Linked DNA regions of Arabidopsis thaliana. The protein of the gene in region 1 binds, or shares a complex with, the protein of each later gene. Each region holds a gene or a part of one and is shown in the gene's direction. Other genes may lie near its edges. The genes, in order: HSL1, IDL2, IDL3 and CLE9.

The links.
Region 2: the proteins of HSL1 (region 1) and IDL2 are in contact, whole or in part, in a crystal structure (PDB 7OGQ), measured with the Arabidopsis thaliana proteins. Residues at the interface, in NP_174166.1 of Arabidopsis thaliana: Tyr92 (codon at 2,469), Asn93 (codon at 2,472), Gln117 (codon at 2,544), Thr140 (codon at 2,613), Val164 (codon at 2,685), Tyr165 (codon at 2,688), Tyr189 (codon at 2,760), Trp211 (codon at 2,826), Asp233 (codon at 2,892), Asp235 (codon at 2,898), Gln257 (codon at 2,964), Glu259 (codon at 2,970), Tyr261 (codon at 2,976), Leu281 (codon at 3,036), Asp283 (codon at 3,042), Ser285 (codon at 3,048), Met286 (codon at 3,051), Ser304 (codon at 3,105), Asn306 (codon at 3,111), Tyr308 (codon at 3,117), Glu309 (codon at 3,120), Glu328 (codon at 3,177), Arg330 (codon at 3,183), Phe332 (codon at 3,189), Asp354 (codon at 3,255), Ser356 (codon at 3,261), Glu357 (codon at 3,264), Glu376 (codon at 3,321), Leu378 (codon at 3,327), Ile380 (codon at 3,333); in NP_001078796.1 of Arabidopsis thaliana: Val73 (codon at 2,282), Pro74 (codon at 2,285), Ala75 (codon at 2,288), Ser76 (codon at 2,291), Gly77 (codon at 2,294), Pro78 (codon at 2,297), Ser79 (codon at 2,300), Arg80 (codon at 2,303), Lys81 (codon at 2,306), His82 (codon at 2,309), Asn83 (codon at 2,312).
Region 3: the proteins of HSL1 (region 1) and IDL3 are in contact, whole or in part, in a crystal structure (PDB 7OGZ), measured with the Arabidopsis thaliana proteins. Residues at the interface, in NP_174166.1 of Arabidopsis thaliana: Tyr165 (codon at 2,688), Tyr189 (codon at 2,760), Trp211 (codon at 2,826), Asp233 (codon at 2,892), Asp235 (codon at 2,898), Gln257 (codon at 2,964), Glu259 (codon at 2,970), Tyr261 (codon at 2,976), Leu281 (codon at 3,036), Asp283 (codon at 3,042), Ser285 (codon at 3,048), Met286 (codon at 3,051), Ser304 (codon at 3,105), Asn306 (codon at 3,111), Tyr308 (codon at 3,117), Glu309 (codon at 3,120), Glu328 (codon at 3,177), Arg330 (codon at 3,183), Phe332 (codon at 3,189), Asp354 (codon at 3,255), Ser356 (codon at 3,261), Glu376 (codon at 3,321), Leu378 (codon at 3,327), Ile380 (codon at 3,333), Arg400 (codon at 3,393), Arg402 (codon at 3,399); in NP_001318520.1 of Arabidopsis thaliana: Pro79 (codon at 2,406), Pro81 (codon at 2,412), Thr82 (codon at 2,415), Ser83 (codon at 2,418), Gly84 (codon at 2,421), Pro85 (codon at 2,424), Ser86 (codon at 2,427), Arg87 (codon at 2,430), Lys88 (codon at 2,433), His89 (codon at 2,436), Asn90 (codon at 2,439).
Region 4: the proteins of HSL1 (region 1) and CLE9 are in contact, whole or in part, in a crystal structure (PDB 7OGU), measured with the Arabidopsis thaliana proteins. Residues at the interface, in NP_174166.1 of Arabidopsis thaliana: Val164 (codon at 2,685), Tyr165 (codon at 2,688), Tyr189 (codon at 2,760), Trp211 (codon at 2,826), Asp233 (codon at 2,892), Asp235 (codon at 2,898), Gln257 (codon at 2,964), Glu259 (codon at 2,970), Tyr261 (codon at 2,976), Leu281 (codon at 3,036), Leu282 (codon at 3,039), Asp283 (codon at 3,042), Met286 (codon at 3,051), Ser304 (codon at 3,105), Asn306 (codon at 3,111), Tyr308 (codon at 3,117), Glu328 (codon at 3,177), Arg330 (codon at 3,183), Phe332 (codon at 3,189), Asp354 (codon at 3,255), Ser356 (codon at 3,261), Glu376 (codon at 3,321), Leu378 (codon at 3,327), Ile380 (codon at 3,333), Arg400 (codon at 3,393), Arg402 (codon at 3,399); in NP_564251.1 of Arabidopsis thaliana: Arg109, Leu110, Val111, Pro112, Ser113, Gly114, Pro115, Asn116, Pro117, Leu118, His119, Asn120.

The regions. Positions count from the first base shown.
Region 1 is NC_003070.9:9,994,719-10,001,378, forward strand, and holds HSL1 (HAESA-like 1), read left to right. Parts: upstream 1-1,994; 5' UTR 1,995-2,195; coding exon 2,196-4,782; intron 4,783-5,049; coding exon 5,050-5,453; 3' UTR 5,454-5,737; downstream 5,738-6,660.
Region 2 is NC_003076.8:25,848,732-25,852,237, forward strand, and holds IDL2 (inflorescence deficient in abscission (IDA)-like 2), read left to right. Parts: upstream 1-1,777; 5' UTR 1,778-2,065; coding exon 2,066-2,353; 3' UTR 2,354-2,644; downstream 2,645-3,506. UniProt on the Arabidopsis thaliana protein: May be involved in floral abscission.
Region 3 is NC_003076.8:3,045,047-3,048,388, forward strand, and holds IDL3 (inflorescence deficient in abscission (IDA)-like 3), read left to right. Parts: upstream 1-1,964; 5' UTR 1,965-2,171; coding exon 2,172-2,471; 3' UTR 2,472-2,707; downstream 2,708-3,342. UniProt on the Arabidopsis thaliana protein: May be involved in floral abscission.
Region 4 is NC_003070.9:9,189,247-9,193,200, forward strand, and holds CLE9 (CLAVATA3/ESR-RELATED 9), read left to right. Parts: upstream 1-2,256; 5' UTR 2,257-2,302; coding exon 2,303-2,800; 3' UTR 2,801-3,344; downstream 3,345-3,954. Other genes in the region: AT1G26590 (C2H2-like zinc finger protein), read left to right, coding at 201-238, 362-1,463.

The DNA.
Region 1 (6,660 bases):
AAAGGTTGCTTGCTTGTACACAATACTCGTAACAAATTAATAGTTCTATTAAATAATTCCAAAGTGACAATGTTATGAAACTATAAGAGGACATCAATCACACGTAATGGAAACTTGATTAACTAAGTAATGAAATTAAAAATATAAACAAAACTAATTTGACGGTTTCTTTCAATCAACTAGCTAGCAACAATTTGTAGGATGAAAGAGACTTTGCTTATAACAATCTCATAAGACAGAGATTTGTAGCTATTGTAGTGTACGTAATTTCTTAAATGTCTATCTTATAGGATACAAGTGTCGAACTCCGTTTAGTGTACCCTAATTTTTTTTTGACAACTTGTATTGTGTGTTTCACAGAAACTATTAGAAACACGAAGAAGAGAAGACTGCTTGGAATCAATCTATCTCCAAAATTTCACTCATCTATCTCTTTAAATATCATTCAAATGGTATGTTGATTAAAGTGATGCTTTTCTCAACCGATACATATGTTAGAACATACGTTTTCTAACTAACATATATGTAGGCAAAATTTGTGTTGTTCTTTTATGAGTTTATTATTTTGTTAAATTAAGATTAACTAAAATAAAATCAAATTCCAACTGATAAACTAAGATTGAGATTATGATAGTAAACGTAACAATTCTCATAATGTAACGGGCATGAAATCCAAATCGTAAGAAAATAAAAACAAAAATAGATAACAATTTTTTTTAACTGGATTCAACAATGTATTCACGTCCTCAAAAACAAAATTCTTGAACACAAGTACAGTTAGTGCAACTCTTTTTCACATCCTACAAAATAATTTACGATTTCGTTTAGCCGTAACAACTTATGAAAACCAAGTTGTGAGAATAAGAACAAAGTGTACACACAGTTTGTTTTTCACAATACATTATTTTACGTCTTCCAATTTTGTTGCATATCAACCTAAAATTTAAAAACCATAAAGAACTCTTATTCGACTCGAATACTTTTTTAAGACTATGACATCTCTAAGATAAGCAATACTCATGACTCTCGCTTGAGAAGTGCATTCTCATATTGACTACACCATTAGGCAATATGTTTCCTAACGTTTAACCATACAAGTTTGTCCCCCTCTTTCCCTTTGCAATACTAATTAGTATAACAAATTTCATTAGAGAATGTTTAATTTCATAAATATCTCAATATTTTGATATCTTATCCTATCTTCCATATTTTCTTTGCATTTTTTGTAAATAACTACATATTATTATCTTCAAAAATGAATTTCACATTTCAACAAAATAAAATATTTTCATGTTTCTACATGCATGCTAGTTTATTCTCTTAATAGTTGATACAATATTCCTAATACTCTTTAAGACGTGCATAAACTTTTTAAAATTGAATGATAATTAATTTAATTCACATCGACTTTAGACTACGTTCCAAGTAAACTTCCAACACATTCTGTTTTTTTTTTTTTTGATATGTTCTAACAATATTTGTACTTTACTACTTTACAAACGCCGATAATAAATAAAACTGTCGGAATATATCTCATTCCATCTCCAAAAAAAAAAAAAAAAAAAAATCAGATATCTACATTTCAAAATTAATGTTTACCGTACCTTCTTTTCACCTTGCAATTTTTTTAAAATGCACATTTACTCTACTAACTAACTTTTCATTTACATTAAAAACATATATAATGAAATCAAATTTGTATGCAAATTCCATATATATTATAAAGCTAAAATTATTTAATTGAAAATTTACAATCTTATCGTCTCCTACATAACTAATTTAAAAACAGTTGCATTCTCTTAAACAACAAAGTACAAAAAAAGAATGTTTCCTTCCATATGGCTATTTAGCTAGATCATCATTATTAGTAACATTCTCTTTTATAATCAGATAAACACAGGATAATTATACAATGTTGGAAACTCGACATAGATACTAATAATTGCAAACAAATAATTAGAGAGAATCGTTATAGAAAACAAAAACAAAATAAATGATAGTAGAAAAACAAATGATTTTTATAGCATTCACAGTCAGAGTCACGATAATTCACCTGTCTCCGGTCAACGCTTTTTATAGACTCTCTTCTTCTCTTCCTTCAAAGCACTCTCTCACAAACACTCTCTTCTTCATACTCTCTTATCTCTCTCTCTTTCTTCAACCACCGTCATAGATACCGGGGAAGACGAAGAAACATGTATCTTCTCTTTCTCTTCTTACTTTTCCCCACCGTCTTCTCTCTTAACCAAGACGGTTTCATTCTTCAACAAGTCAAGCTCTCGTTAGACGACCCAGACTCATATCTCTCTTCCTGGAACTCCAACGATGCTTCTCCTTGTCGGTGGTCCGGCGTTTCCTGCGCCGGTGATTTCTCCTCCGTCACTTCCGTAGACCTCTCCAGCGCTAATCTCGCCGGACCTTTTCCTTCAGTCATTTGTCGTCTCTCTAATCTGGCTCATCTCTCTTTGTACAATAACTCCATCAACTCTACTCTTCCTCTCAACATCGCTGCTTGTAAGAGTCTTCAAACTCTCGATCTCTCTCAGAATCTACTCACCGGTGAGCTTCCACAAACTCTTGCCGATATTCCGACTTTGGTTCACTTAGATTTGACCGGTAACAACTTTTCCGGTGACATTCCGGCGAGTTTCGGCAAATTCGAAAACCTAGAGGTTCTTTCTCTTGTTTACAATCTCTTAGACGGTACGATTCCTCCGTTTCTCGGCAACATCAGCACGTTGAAGATGCTGAATCTTTCGTATAACCCCTTTAGTCCGAGTCGGATCCCGCCGGAGTTCGGGAACTTGACGAATCTCGAGGTTATGTGGCTCACTGAGTGTCATTTAGTCGGACAGATCCCTGACTCGCTGGGTCAACTCAGTAAACTCGTTGATTTAGACCTTGCGCTCAACGACCTTGTAGGTCATATTCCTCCTTCGCTCGGTGGTTTGACTAACGTCGTTCAGATTGAGCTGTACAACAACTCGTTGACCGGAGAGATTCCACCGGAGCTCGGGAATTTGAAATCGTTGAGACTTCTCGACGCGTCGATGAATCAGTTAACCGGGAAAATACCGGACGAGCTTTGCCGTGTGCCGTTGGAGAGTTTGAATCTCTACGAGAACAATCTAGAAGGTGAGCTTCCGGCGAGTATAGCGTTATCTCCGAACTTGTACGAGATTAGAATATTCGGAAACCGGTTAACCGGTGGATTACCAAAAGACCTCGGTCTAAACTCGCCGTTGAGATGGTTGGATGTTTCGGAAAACGAATTTTCCGGCGACTTACCGGCGGATCTGTGTGCGAAAGGAGAGCTAGAGGAGTTGTTGATTATACACAATTCCTTCTCCGGCGTTATACCGGAGAGTCTCGCCGATTGCAGGAGCTTGACACGTATCCGGTTAGCTTATAACCGGTTTTCCGGTTCAGTTCCTACAGGTTTCTGGGGATTGCCTCATGTTAACTTGCTTGAGCTCGTCAACAACTCGTTCTCCGGTGAAATTTCGAAGTCCATTGGAGGTGCTTCAAATCTCTCGCTGTTGATTCTCTCCAACAATGAATTCACCGGATCTTTGCCGGAGGAAATTGGTTCTTTGGATAATCTTAATCAGTTGTCGGCAAGTGGGAACAAGTTCAGTGGCTCGTTGCCTGATAGCTTGATGAGTCTTGGAGAATTAGGTACTCTTGATCTTCATGGTAATCAGTTTTCAGGAGAGTTAACTTCTGGAATCAAATCTTGGAAGAAGCTCAACGAGTTAAACTTAGCCGATAACGAATTCACCGGTAAAATTCCAGATGAAATCGGGAGTTTGTCAGTATTGAACTATCTTGATCTTTCTGGTAACATGTTCTCTGGCAAGATCCCGGTTTCATTGCAGAGTTTGAAGCTAAACCAGCTGAATCTGTCTTATAACCGGTTATCGGGTGACTTACCGCCTTCTTTAGCGAAAGATATGTATAAGAATAGCTTCATTGGGAACCCGGGATTGTGTGGGGATATCAAGGGATTGTGTGGCTCTGAGAATGAAGCTAAGAAGAGAGGCTATGTATGGCTTCTTAGATCGATTTTCGTACTTGCTGCGATGGTGCTTCTTGCGGGTGTTGCTTGGTTCTACTTCAAGTACAGGACTTTCAAGAAAGCAAGAGCCATGGAGAGATCTAAGTGGACTCTAATGTCGTTCCACAAACTCGGGTTCAGTGAGCATGAGATTCTTGAAAGCTTGGATGAAGATAATGTGATTGGAGCTGGAGCTTCAGGTAAAGTTTACAAGGTTGTACTCACCAATGGGGAAACTGTTGCGGTTAAGCGTTTATGGACAGGTTCTGTTAAGGAAACTGGAGATTGTGATCCAGAGAAAGGTTACAAACCTGGAGTTCAAGATGAGGCTTTTGAAGCTGAAGTTGAGACATTGGGTAAGATTAGGCATAAGAACATTGTGAAGCTATGGTGTTGCTGTTCTACAAGAGACTGCAAGCTCTTGGTTTATGAGTACATGCCTAATGGTAGTTTGGGAGATTTGCTTCATAGCAGTAAAGGAGGAATGTTGGGATGGCAAACGAGGTTTAAGATTATCTTAGATGCGGCTGAGGGGCTTTCGTATCTTCACCATGATTCTGTTCCTCCGATTGTGCATAGAGATATTAAGTCAAACAATATTTTGATCGATGGAGATTATGGTGCAAGAGTTGCTGATTTTGGTGTGGCTAAAGCTGTCGACTTGACCGGAAAAGCTCCTAAATCGATGTCAGTGATCGCTGGTTCATGCGGTTATATCGCACCAGGTTAGTCTTATGATTCAAGTTAAATGTGCTTTGTTTAATCAACAGTTTTGCTTAAGGTAATAATGCTCATTTGGTACATGTTGCACGGAGATTCAGATGAACCACATTTAAGTTTTATTAGTTGAGACTTAAATGAGCATTCACTATCTATTGAGACATGTCTGAAACCATGGCTCCACAACTTCTCACTTGTCCATTAATGGAATTTGAAACTTTTTGTTTGTTTGTCTGTTTCCCTCCATAACTTTCATTTCAAACTTCTTGCAGAATACGCATATACGCTTCGTGTGAACGAGAAAAGCGACATCTACAGTTTCGGGGTAGTGATCCTTGAGATAGTAACTAGGAAACGCCCGGTTGATCCAGAACTTGGGGAGAAGGATTTGGTGAAGTGGGTTTGCTCTACATTGGACCAAAAAGGCATAGAGCATGTGATAGACCCGAAACTCGACTCTTGTTTCAAAGAAGAGATAAGCAAAATCCTCAACGTTGGACTCCTCTGCACGAGTCCGTTGCCCATTAACCGACCTTCCATGAGGCGTGTGGTTAAGATGTTGCAAGAAATTGGTGGTGGAGACGAAGATAGCCTACACAAGATAAGAGATGACAAGGATGGCAAGTTAACACCTTATTACAACGAAGACACCTCAGACCAAGGAAGTATAGCTTGAGACACAAATGGAGAAAGAAAAGTGTTTTGCCCAAAAAAGCTCTCTCAATTTTTGGTGCTTGAAGCTGTCAATTTAGGGCATTGAATCAAGATTCTCTCACCCCTTTTTAGGGTTTTGATCTAAAAGTGAGAATCAGAGATTGTCGAAATTTTTATAATATATATAAAGAAGTTTCTAATTCAGCGTTTCAGTTTCTCCACTGTATAAAGCTATTAGTAAACTCTGGTTTTGTAAGAGTTTTTATCTTTGGTAAATGCAAATGAAAAAGTTGCGATCTTTCTGGCGTTAACATGCATTTAAATAGTTTCCATATTTGGGTAAACAGATTCAAGGTTCGTGTAGGAACATGTCTATCTGAATCTTTTAAAGCATTAGGCTCTCTCTCTCTCTCTCGTTTTTAGTGAACTCTTGGAGGCTCGTGTACAGTTTGATGTCACTGTAGATTCACATGTCTCTTAAATTCTCAACTTTTTCAAACCAACTTTTCTATTATTATTTATAATTTCAGGTTGTGTTATTTCCTTTACTTACTCTCTCCGTACACGAGCATGAACATCAGACTTGGCACATGAAATGACTAATATCAACCTTCCTGCGAAAAGATCTCTAACTTTTAGTTACTTGTGTGAAGTCTAGTATCTATAATAAACAACGTATGTTTTTTTGACAGTCATTCTTTAAAACATGATATTCTTGGAGTTCGAGAACTATTTGTAAGAAAGATATAATTCCAAAAAGAGAAAAAGAATTAGTTAAGTCATGTAAATCGACCGGTAGTGATTAGGTAAACGTTTAACTTCCTAATTGCAATTAAGTAACGACATTAAAAACTAAAGAGATAACTTCTATTATTGTTGAGTATAAAACAAATCCAAAACAAAAACATTGACATCTCAACATTAGCTAAGCTTTATCATCTAACTAGAGAATTTTACATTAAGGTTACATAAATAGGGTGAGAATCTAAATATGAGCTGTTGGGTGAGGAAATTAAAAGTGGGTCCAATAAGCATTGAAGCCAGCCCACATTGTTATCATTCAATTCAAGGGACATAGACACCTCACCTTCATCTTTTGCCTTGTCTCTCTGTCTCTTTCACTCTCTAAATCATTTCTCAATTTTGTTTTCTTTGTTTTTGCATTTCCTTTTTGTTTATTTTTTTCAACTTGTTGCATGATGAGGTTTCATAGAGATTCCACATAACAT
Region 2 (3,506 bases), on another chromosome or scaffold:
CCAACTTTAGATTTCAACTGTTGTTCCTGACATTACCAAGACTCTTCTATTTTAGTTTACTTTCTGTTCGTGTACTTCTTCTCATAATATTGGGACAATAAGAGTCATTTTACTCCATACTCATTGAAATGTTTTTAATTTAATTTCCATAAAAGATAACTATTACAAGGTATCAGGTCTAATAATCATTTATTCTGACCTTTGTCATGTACGTTAACCAAGAAATAAAATTTTGAAAGCAAATTTTAATTAATTTGTAACTCAATAGATCACATACTATTTGGTCTGTTGTATATATGTCCATTAATCTTTTGTAATTTGTATGCCAAGTAGACTTATGGCTCTGAATTTCATTTATTAGATTTCCTTTTACAAAAGTGGATGAAAAATGGTAAAACCGTATAAGTGTTGGGAAGAGGTTGCATTGAATGAAGAACTCTAATTAACTCTAATGGAAAAAGCTTAGATAAGAGATTGAAATGGCAAGAACGGTGATTGATATATGGACTGTGTGCATACGTGTGTCTACACAAAATATGGTAACATATATGCATTTGAAGTAGCTTAAATTGAGGAAGATTTCGCAATAAAGATTGAATAGTCGCAATGTTGTGACATAATTATAATCGGTCACTATATTTAGACTGGGGCCTGTCATATTTTCTCCTAACAAAAAAACTATAAAATTATATAAAGTTTTGAGTCTTGACATAACATAGAAAAGGCTTTACCTTACCATATCACTTTGTATTAATATTTTCTCTTTGCCCACTTTCTCCGTTCTTTCTTATTCATTGAACATAGGTGACATGAAACCTTGCATCCAAGGCATTTGAAGAAACAAACGAATCTATCTTTATTTGTTATATAATCTTTTTATTTCCTTTGTTTTTGTCAATATTATAGAAAATTATTATATACCAGAGGTTATAGTCAACTAATTAATTGGATTTTTATTTTTTGTAATGTTAAACTTATCCACCAGAAAGATTATATGTGTAATGTAATAACTGGACTATTTTGTAAAATCATATTTTAAAATTATAAAACCTCAAACCTTACTGAAAACAGGTGATTTCAAAATTTCATGCAAGTAAATGTTGAACTTTCCAATTTTATAAATAGTCTTGTTAAGCAAGAGTTTTACGATAATCCCTCCCAAAGCACTATAGCTTTAAAATTACTATGTTAGTTGTGTCGAAAATACAAAGCAAAAGAGAATAATTCTATGCAACTGTTGACAAGAGAAAAACACATTATTGCGCCGTACAAACGTCTTGTCTCCATTTCCATAAGATAATTTGTTTTGAAATATATAAATCTTAAGCGAGCTATCGACTATCGTTAGTGTTTTTGATGAATATGATGAAAACTAATGGGATGTTTTCATTACTCTAATAACTTTCGCATAAAAGTGAAAGACAACGAATATGGAGGATATCAAAAGTTTCTGGTTTAATTTTCTCGGCATTTCATTAAAACTTTCCATACCTTTCAGTAAACAAATCTTCGTTCCCTATAATTTTTCAGATCATATGTGGGTCAAGTAAAAAACACTCCCCCTTTAACCTAAACCACTTAATGACAATAAGTCTACAACCATTTTGTGTGCTTAGTTACCATAAATTTTGCCTTAATAATTTAAGAACTGTAAATATTTGTGCCCTGCAACATTTTTTCAATAAACCTAAACTATCAACAATTATAAGTCTAAAAAAATCTACCACCAAACAGTTTCTTCGGCTTGTAGACCAAAACCAGTTGTCAACAAGTCTACAACTACTTGCATAGTTGAATAGTTCGTGAAAAAATAAAGAGAAAGTATATATCAGAAGTAATTAAATACACACGAAAACATAACTCAAAAACCTCTTCTTAGTCAGATTCTCTCTCTATCTATCTCTCTCAATCTCCATCTGCCCATATTTCTTGCTGTCAACAAATTCATTCAGCAATCTCCTTTTTCCCCATCAACAACAAACAAAAAATAAAGTCCTTTCACAACAATTATATTTAGAACAAATTCACCAAAAACCCTTCCACAAAAAACCTCTCTTCTTCAACAATGTCGTCTCGAAACCAAAGATCAAGAATCACCTCTAGTTTCTTCGTCTCCTTCTTCACTAGAACCATTCTTCTTCTTCTCATTCTTCTTCTTGGTTTCTGCAATGGAGCAAGAACAAACACGAACGTCTTCAACTCGAAACCACACAAGAAGCACAACGACGCCGTTTCTTCTTCAACTAAACAGTTCTTGGGGTTCTTGCCACGTCACTTCCCTGTTCCAGCTTCTGGTCCCTCCAGAAAACACAATGATATTGGTTTACTTAGTTGGCATCGATCTTCTCCGTGAGAAAAAGCTTGAAAGGTCTTGAATTTTATTTTCTTTCTTTCTTTTAATTAGTTATATGTTTCTTTCATTCCGGTTCCTCTCTTTTACCCTTTGCTTTTGAGTTTTAAGTTGGTGTAAATGTTTTTTATTTTATTTTTTTTTGGTAATGCCAAGAAAATGGTTATTTTTGTTTGATTAATGTCGACAAGGCTAAACATATGATTTATTATTATGAAATTGTAATTGGAAGTTGTATTATTTTTTGGATAGCTCGAATTTGTAATATTGCACGTATCAAAGTGTGTGAGCCGATCATCCTCATGATATACACGTGTTCTTGTTATTATAATAATAATTTAACTATCTGAAAAAGTTTATGATTAGTTCGAAAATTGACTTTGAATATTATATCACAAGGACTAATTTGTATGTGTGTTTGTAAAAGAATAGATCAAATCTTTAAACTTTAAAGAGGTTTGAAATATATGGTGTAACTAAAAAGTCTGATGTAGAATGGTCTTGAGATTTATAATCGACTTTTTTCTTGGGATCTATCGATTTGTTTTAATGATAACCAATAATGTCTTTGAAATGTCTATTGTGATTTGTCAATGTGATGGACCAAGGTTGCATCTAATTCTATAGCCATTTAATTTATTTTGACATTAAACGTGACATTTATGCCGGAAGGTGATCATCAATAGGTACATAAGATCAGAAAGGTGTGATCAATAGAAGAAGATAAACAGAAACATTTTTAAAATATAGTGTATGATATTGAACTGCACTTGATTTTAAACAAATACGTAATGATCATTTTTAAAGACAAATAAACCGATCTAATTACATATTTATTTGATAATAAAATACCAATCGAGTACTCTTTTTTTTTCGTAGTTATTTAATATAATCAATGCTATAATTAACAGTACAGTACTCATCATTACATGTTTGTTAAGAGTAATGAGTTCTGAAACCTCGAAATCTATCTTCTTCTTCTTTAATCACGTTCGGTTGTTCAAATTCAGACAATCATAGCCCCTTTTCGATAAATTAGGTAAATTTCGCACATCGTTTTGGTAAAATAACACTGCAAAAAAGGGACATAATCTCATAACCTATATATTTGCAGTTGCAGATTTTAGCATCTTTAGTCAAAAAAAGCAAAGTTACC
Region 3 (3,342 bases), on another chromosome or scaffold:
ATTTGTAAAACAAATGTGATAAAAGGAAGTGAACTTATTGACCAGACAGATTCGACGGCCTTTTGCAACTTTTGTTGCTTCCTTTTCCTTTTCAAAGTCCACTTTAAATAAAGTCTTTATCGATTACCTTAGCGACAAAGTGTCAATGACATCAAGAGTAAACTACTACTCGGTTATGTGAATGTGACAGTCCAGGCTCGTGTATGGGCCTTGTATGTAACCCAAACCATCGTTCGTAGGCTTAGTCATTTATTATTATTTTGCGAATCAGAGGCCCATTAAATTTACTCCTCTTTTTCTATGTCAATACATAGAAAACAAATAAAGAAAGAAGGCGAGTTATCGTTATGCTATAACCTCATCGCACTTTTTATGTTTTTTTGGTATGAGCCTCATCGCATTTGTTATCTTTATGATCGTGTTTATATTATATATGTAAATGTAGTGCGATTGCAATGAAATAACGTTTCTTTTAGTGAAGAATTGCGCTTAAGTTTTTGGCGGAGGGTAATTGTATTGCAAAAGTCACTAAACTTTAGAGAGAAGCATTTAACCTTTCGGATTACAAAAAAATACTGTGACAATAAAAAAAAAAAATCAATGAGAATGATGCATTGGAGAAAACGTGTATGAACAGATGGTCGGTAAAAAAAAAAAAAAAAACGTGTATGAACAGATGGTCGGTAATTAGCACGAAAATCGCTTTGGTTGTAATTTGTAATAGTACTATTTTATACTCGTATATTTTCAACAGTGTTGTTACAGTAACGCTAAGGAACTAGCCTGGACAAGCTTTTACATCTCATTTACTGTTGTTGTTCTGACACAACTACTGTTGTTGCCTTTTATGTTCGGTTTCCTTCGTTCTTCTAAGTTCTGACATCTTGTTCGTACAAAGGGGTCTCATCGTCATTATTCTCTGCCTTCAATATATATGCCGCAAAAGAGGATGCAACTCAAAAGTGTCCACTAAAGCTACGGTCTTTAAGTTGATGATTACGTTAAGGAAGATGTCCAAGAAATAAAAAGTTGATGTCTTGATGATGACTAAAATTTAGAATTGGTTGATCCGGTCTTGCGGTGCAGTAGTTGTATTGCCTGGTCGTTAAGTCACGTTACGTTTTAGCTCGAACTTGTTTTACGTAAAGGATAGATCTAGGAAATATAGAAACTTTTTTATGCATATGCGCGTGGTTTGCTCAATCAATTGTAAGAGATTGCAAGGATAGAATACACTATAGTATTATCAAACTGATATGAAATTATTTTATTTTGTCGTCAAGTAATATGAATTATATTTTTTTCACATAACATGAAATGAAAAGGCTTGACCTTGACCCACCACTAATTATTTTTCTTTCGTTTTCTTCTCTTTGTCCCCTCTCACTTTCACTCCACAGAGAGGATTAATTGATAATATATTATAGAAACAAATGTGAAATGTATTTTAAATTGAAAGTAAACTAAAAATCTTGACAATGTTAATAACCTGTAATCCTAATGGTCAATGCTAAAACCGTTATTATATGATCAGACATGGTCAAACCCACATAATACATGTTATTTCAAACGCAAAATTAGAAATATCATAAATATGCAATAGTACTTATACGTGAACCTAATTAAAGACAGCTATAAAGGAGTCTTCCTCCAACTTTTTTTGTCTTGTGGGTCATATCAAGAGCTATGAAGAGACGTTATTGTTTTTGCCCAACAACGTTTTTTACGCATTCCAATATGAGATCATGTTCAGAAATAGTTAATTTAAACTCAAGTGAAGGTAGTATAGGGGTAAAACATCTTGTGTCTCCAATTTGATTTAGTATGTTTTGAATAATGTAATTACTACGTAAATATCCATGATTAACTAGATTTAGGTTTAGTGCATGGTTTTCCTTAATAAGAGAGATAAGAATAGAACCATATGAGTAAATAAAAAGAAACATACAAATAGAACCATAAGTCAACATCTTTCCAATCAAAATCTCTCTCTCTTGATGTGCCCATATTTCTAGCTGTCAACAATTCACAGCCTTCTCTTTTTCATTCAATCACCCATCAACAAAAAAATAAAACCTTTTAAATATTAAATACTTCCACCCAAAACTCCTTCAAACAAAAATCACTTCCCTCCCTCCATCTCTCTCTATTCACTCTCCCAATTTACACCAATGTCTTCTCGAAGCCACCGATCAAGAAAATATCAACTCACGAGAACAATTCCTATTCTTGTTCTTCTTCTTGTCCTTTTGAGTTGCTGCAATGGAGCAAGAACCACGAACGTCTTCAACACAAGCTCGCCACCCAAACAAAAGGACGTCGTTTCGCCACCTCATGATCATGTCCATCATCAAGTACAAGATCACAAAAGTGTACAGTTCTTGGGGTCCCTGCCACGTCAGTTTCCGGTTCCAACTTCTGGTCCTTCCAGAAAACATAACGAAATCGGTTTAAGTAGTACTAAGACTTAATCTTCACCTTGTAGTTCAAAGGTTTGATTAATGAATCATCCTTTTTACTTCTGTAAGTTTTTTTTGTTTTAGTTTTTGCCCCTTTTGAATTTGGTTCAAACTGATGTAAATAGATTTCAGTTTGATTTATTTATGGGCAATGCTGTGGATACGATCAAATTTTTTAGTTTAATATTGGAACTTGTTTGATCCATTGAAATATTGCAAGTACGTAAGAGCATCCACATTGGTGGTTATTTATACATGTCTTTAAATATAAAACTATAAAAAATAATAATAATAAAATAATGAATGTCTTTAATTTGAGATTTGTGTCTTCCTAAAGACACTTTATACACAACAAAAGTGAAATGTCTTTAATTTTATTATTTATTTATACTAAAAACATATATAAAAAGTTGTCTACTCTAAGTGTACAAGAGCCGAGGATAGAAGGGTCGGTTTCTAATTAAACAATTATTGTTCTTTTTATTTTCCGTCTTCTAATTTGATATATATGAAATTATATATCATATGTTCACTGTATCCTAATCGTGGATTATTACGGACATAATGATAATTGTTGAGATATATACAAGTCCCGATCAATTTAGGCTACATCTGTTTGGTAGAATATTGATGGATATAAGCCGAGTAGTGATTTCAATATTTTATATCCACTCTCTTCTTATAAGTTATGGTAATAACAAATAGAAGGTTATTCTACATATACTAGTATTTGAGTTGGTGTTTAAATACCTCGGGTTATTCGGACATGCATAGAGAAAATATATGGTATTTTAAGATAAACATTATCCCATAATATATGGACATTGACAAATACAAATAATGTGTGTTCGTGCGTAAAAGAATTGTCATTTCTTTAAAATAA
Region 4 (3,954 bases), 810 kb from region 1:
AAACTTTACTGTGGAAATTACACAAAAAAGCTTGTTTTACTTTTCTCCTCTCTGTTTCTTCTTAGCTTGAAGTTCGGATCTTGTACTTAGCTATACAGAGAAACTGTCACATCTCTGAATCTGATTACAAGAAAGAAAAAAAGCATCAAACTTGCTGCTTCTTTATTCTCTTTTCTTCTCTGTATCAGTTTTGTCGGTTTATGCAGCACTCGTCTTCATTCATAGATTTTGATTTGAGGTAAACTAAACTCATCAGATATTAAAAATGGGTTCTTTACTTCTTTCGATTTCGTGTGTAAAGGAGAAACCTTTATTGATTCTTTCTTGCTTGTTTGCTGTTTGATCATTTGTCTAAGAGAAGAAGGTCAAATTTTCAAATGGAGGAAGGGAAAGAGAATTCGTTTTTGTGCAAGTACTGTTACAAGACGTTTCCTTCTGGGAAAGCACTCGGTGGTCACATTAGAATTCATACGAACGAGAATTCAGTTGGTTACAATGGCAATAAGAAGAAGAGGTTGGTGGATCAGAGAAAGATGATGGCTCAGAAACATAAGCAACAACAACAAGTTGGTTGCAGAGAATGTGGTAGAGTGTTCGTTTCTTTGAAAGCTCTTAGAGGTCACATGGCTTGTCACGGTGAGGTAAAGAAGATGTTGATGGATGATAATAGCCAATCTGATACTGAAAGTGAGACTTCCTCAGCTCCTATGAGGAAAAGATCCAAGAGGGTGGTCATGAAACAATCAAATTCTGAATCTTTGAGTAATGGGAGCTCGTCTTTTGGTTCTGAGATTGACCAAGAACGTAGGGATGGGGCTTATAATTTGATGATGTTGTCGAGTGATTCTAGTAGTTTCAAGAAAAGACGTAACATGGTGATGAATTCTCTTGGTGAGTCATCTGACAACAACTCTGCGATTGTTGAGAATAAGTCATCTTCAGGGGATGAGTTTAAGATCATGAATGTGAAGAATGCAGTAGATGACCAATGGAGATCTGCTGATGATGATGGAGTTAGTCTCTGTGATTCAGATGGCTCTGATTCTGATTACTTCATGAATGGTCCAAGTAAGTCGGAGTCAGACATTTCTGTTGACAGGAACACTGGATTTGGATCTGGATTCAACAACTCATTGATCAGGTTCAGGAATAGTAATGAGGGAGGAACAAAGTATGAGCTGAGCAAAAGCAAGAGAGCCTTGTTTTCTTATGAAACTGATTCATGTGCAGACACAAACAGCAAGATTCATCATAGGTTCAAAGATAGCAAATCCTCAATGGTTAAGAAAGAAGGTGGTGAGAAGGTGAAGAGCAAAGGTCATGAGTGCCCAATTTGCTTCAGGATGTTCAAATCAGGCCAAGCTTTAGGTGGTCACAAGAGATCACATTCCATTGCAAACCACGCAGCTGAAATGCGTAACCAAATCGATCTCTATCTTCCTGTTTCGGATACTGATGAATGAATCAGAACCTGAGAACTATAGTTCTCTCTGATAGTATTTCATCCCCACTTTTTGTTTGTTTTCTTTGCTCCACATTTTAGAACTAGATCAAAAGTTTTTTTTGATTTGTTCATATAAAGTTTGCTTATCACTTAGAGCCAATTCTTTGCTTTATGAACTCAAGTATTGATGTATATATTATCTTCAGCTTTTTAGGGACCTTTCATGTTTCTTACTGATTACTGAGATTCATTCTTCTTGTCTTCAAAGAAAGCTGTTACTTTTAAAGTTTTTTTTTCCTTTTTCGAGCTTTCACCTATAAGACTTCCTCTGTATTCATATTAGCACAATCAAAGTCAAGACTACAAGAGCCATTGTCTATTGCTTTTATGATGATGTTTTGGTTCTAACATAAAAAGGGAGAGAGTTGTGTTCAAGTTAAAGTTGTTGATTCAATTGAAAGGAGGAAAAGCAAAATAAATAAATCCCAAATTTGGTAACTTTACTAATTTATAGGTAGTTGGGTTTAGATAGACTCCTATTGGGCCTGTTAAGGCCTTTAAACTATAGAAGCCGATAAAGACCCAGGAGTTAACTTGAGAGTCACGAAACCACTCAAATACACGTTCTTGTTTATCTTGTGTACGTAATTACTACATAAACCCATTATTTTGTACGTATAACGTATTGTATGAAAAAGCTAAAGAAAGTGAAATAAATCTAGGATCGAAATGTATATAATAAAGTTCACGGGTTGGTATTTATGTCAATGAAAACGAACTAAGCGAAGGACCCACTTTTTTTTGTATAACCAGTTTTGCCCTCTCATTTACTAAAACTAACCGTCATAACATCGATTCATGTGCTTCTTCTGTGTTGCATTTATATCCCAATTTGCTTCCACCAAATATCTTCCCTCTCTCGATTTTAAACTTCTTCTTCTCCAAGACCACTTCTCACTTTCTCTCTCTCGCTCTCTCTTGGAAACCAAAACAATGACGATGACTCACCTGAATCGTCTGATCTTGATCTCTCTTCTCTTCGTCTCTTTACTTCTCAAATCCTCCACCGCTTCTTCAACCGTCGTCGACGAAGGAAACAGAACATCAAGAAACTTCCGTTACCGAACGCACCGATTCGTTCCGAGGTTTAACCACCACCCTTACCACGTGACTCCTCACCGTTCGTGTGATTCCTTCATTCGTCCTTACGCGCGTTCTATGTGCATTGAGCTTCAGAGAATCCACCGTAGCAGTCGGAAGCAGCCACTTCTTTCTCCTCCTCCTCCGGAGATTGATCCAAGGTACGGCGTCGACAAAAGACTCGTCCCCTCTGGTCCAAACCCGCTTCACAACTAAAACCATATCCTCAAGTTTCTATACATACATATATACAGAAACATTTGTCACATATTTTCTAATTTAACTCGTTTCTCGGATTTGTTCGAGAGAGATTTGTGTACTTTATAGCTAGAGTTATTTTGGCCCAAGAAGATGGTTCGTTAGTTCTTCTTGGTCTTCTTTGCGGAAATTTCTTATTTCTACTTTCTTGATCTTGTAATGGAGTCTTGCGTTATGGTAATATTGTAACTAAGCTATTTCCACGCTTGTTTTTGGGCTTTGTAGTGTGAAAACAATCTTGGAAATAGTGTATTTTTGCAAGGGACTTTCTTTTGTTTTTCTAATGAGAAAATGATAAATTATAGTTTTGAAAGCGAAAGGAGAAAAAAAGATTTAGTATGGTTGGGAGAGGAGAGGTGAAGAAACGCATGAGCTCCATTAATTTGGGAGCTGTATTTATGTAACTCTAAAGTTTCCATTGGTCTATCAATAAAAATTTAAAAAGGTTGATGGGGCATATATATGTTATGTTCTTCTCTTTCGTGTGATATTTCGCTGTAAAGATATTTATTTCGCTTGTCTCTGTCAATAGACAATAGTAAAAACTTTGCAAATATAGAAACTTTTATTTATAATTTTGCCAACCAGATTTTCCTTTATCATTTTGCCAGCCAAATTTTTTATGTCTACTCATTTTTACAAATGTGGCACCGTCCACCATGTACGTGTTATCATCCGATTTAATCAACGGATTATAAGTTGTAGAAAATATTATTTATTACTCTTTATGAAAAGGAAAGTTATGAAAGAAAATGTATATATCTTAATGTTTATCGCCAAATTTATGGGATAAAAGTGTTTTAAGATGAGATGATGAATATAGTGCAAGCCTGGCAAAACAGAAAAGGAAACAAGAAGCAAAATTGGAGGGGAAAAAAATAATCTTTATAGAGTAAAATAGAAATAACTTGAATGCATTTTTGGTATAAGATGAATCAGAAAAAGTTATAATTTTTGTTTGTAACTTGTGAATTTCGAGTATTTTATCTAGTACATATCACTTTTTGGGTTTAGAGCCTTTCAAAATCTCTGGACCGGACCGGTCTACTCGCAACAAAATGATGGATTCAGCTAAAATGTGTCGGATCTACTAATCTTTTTTTTTTTTGTTG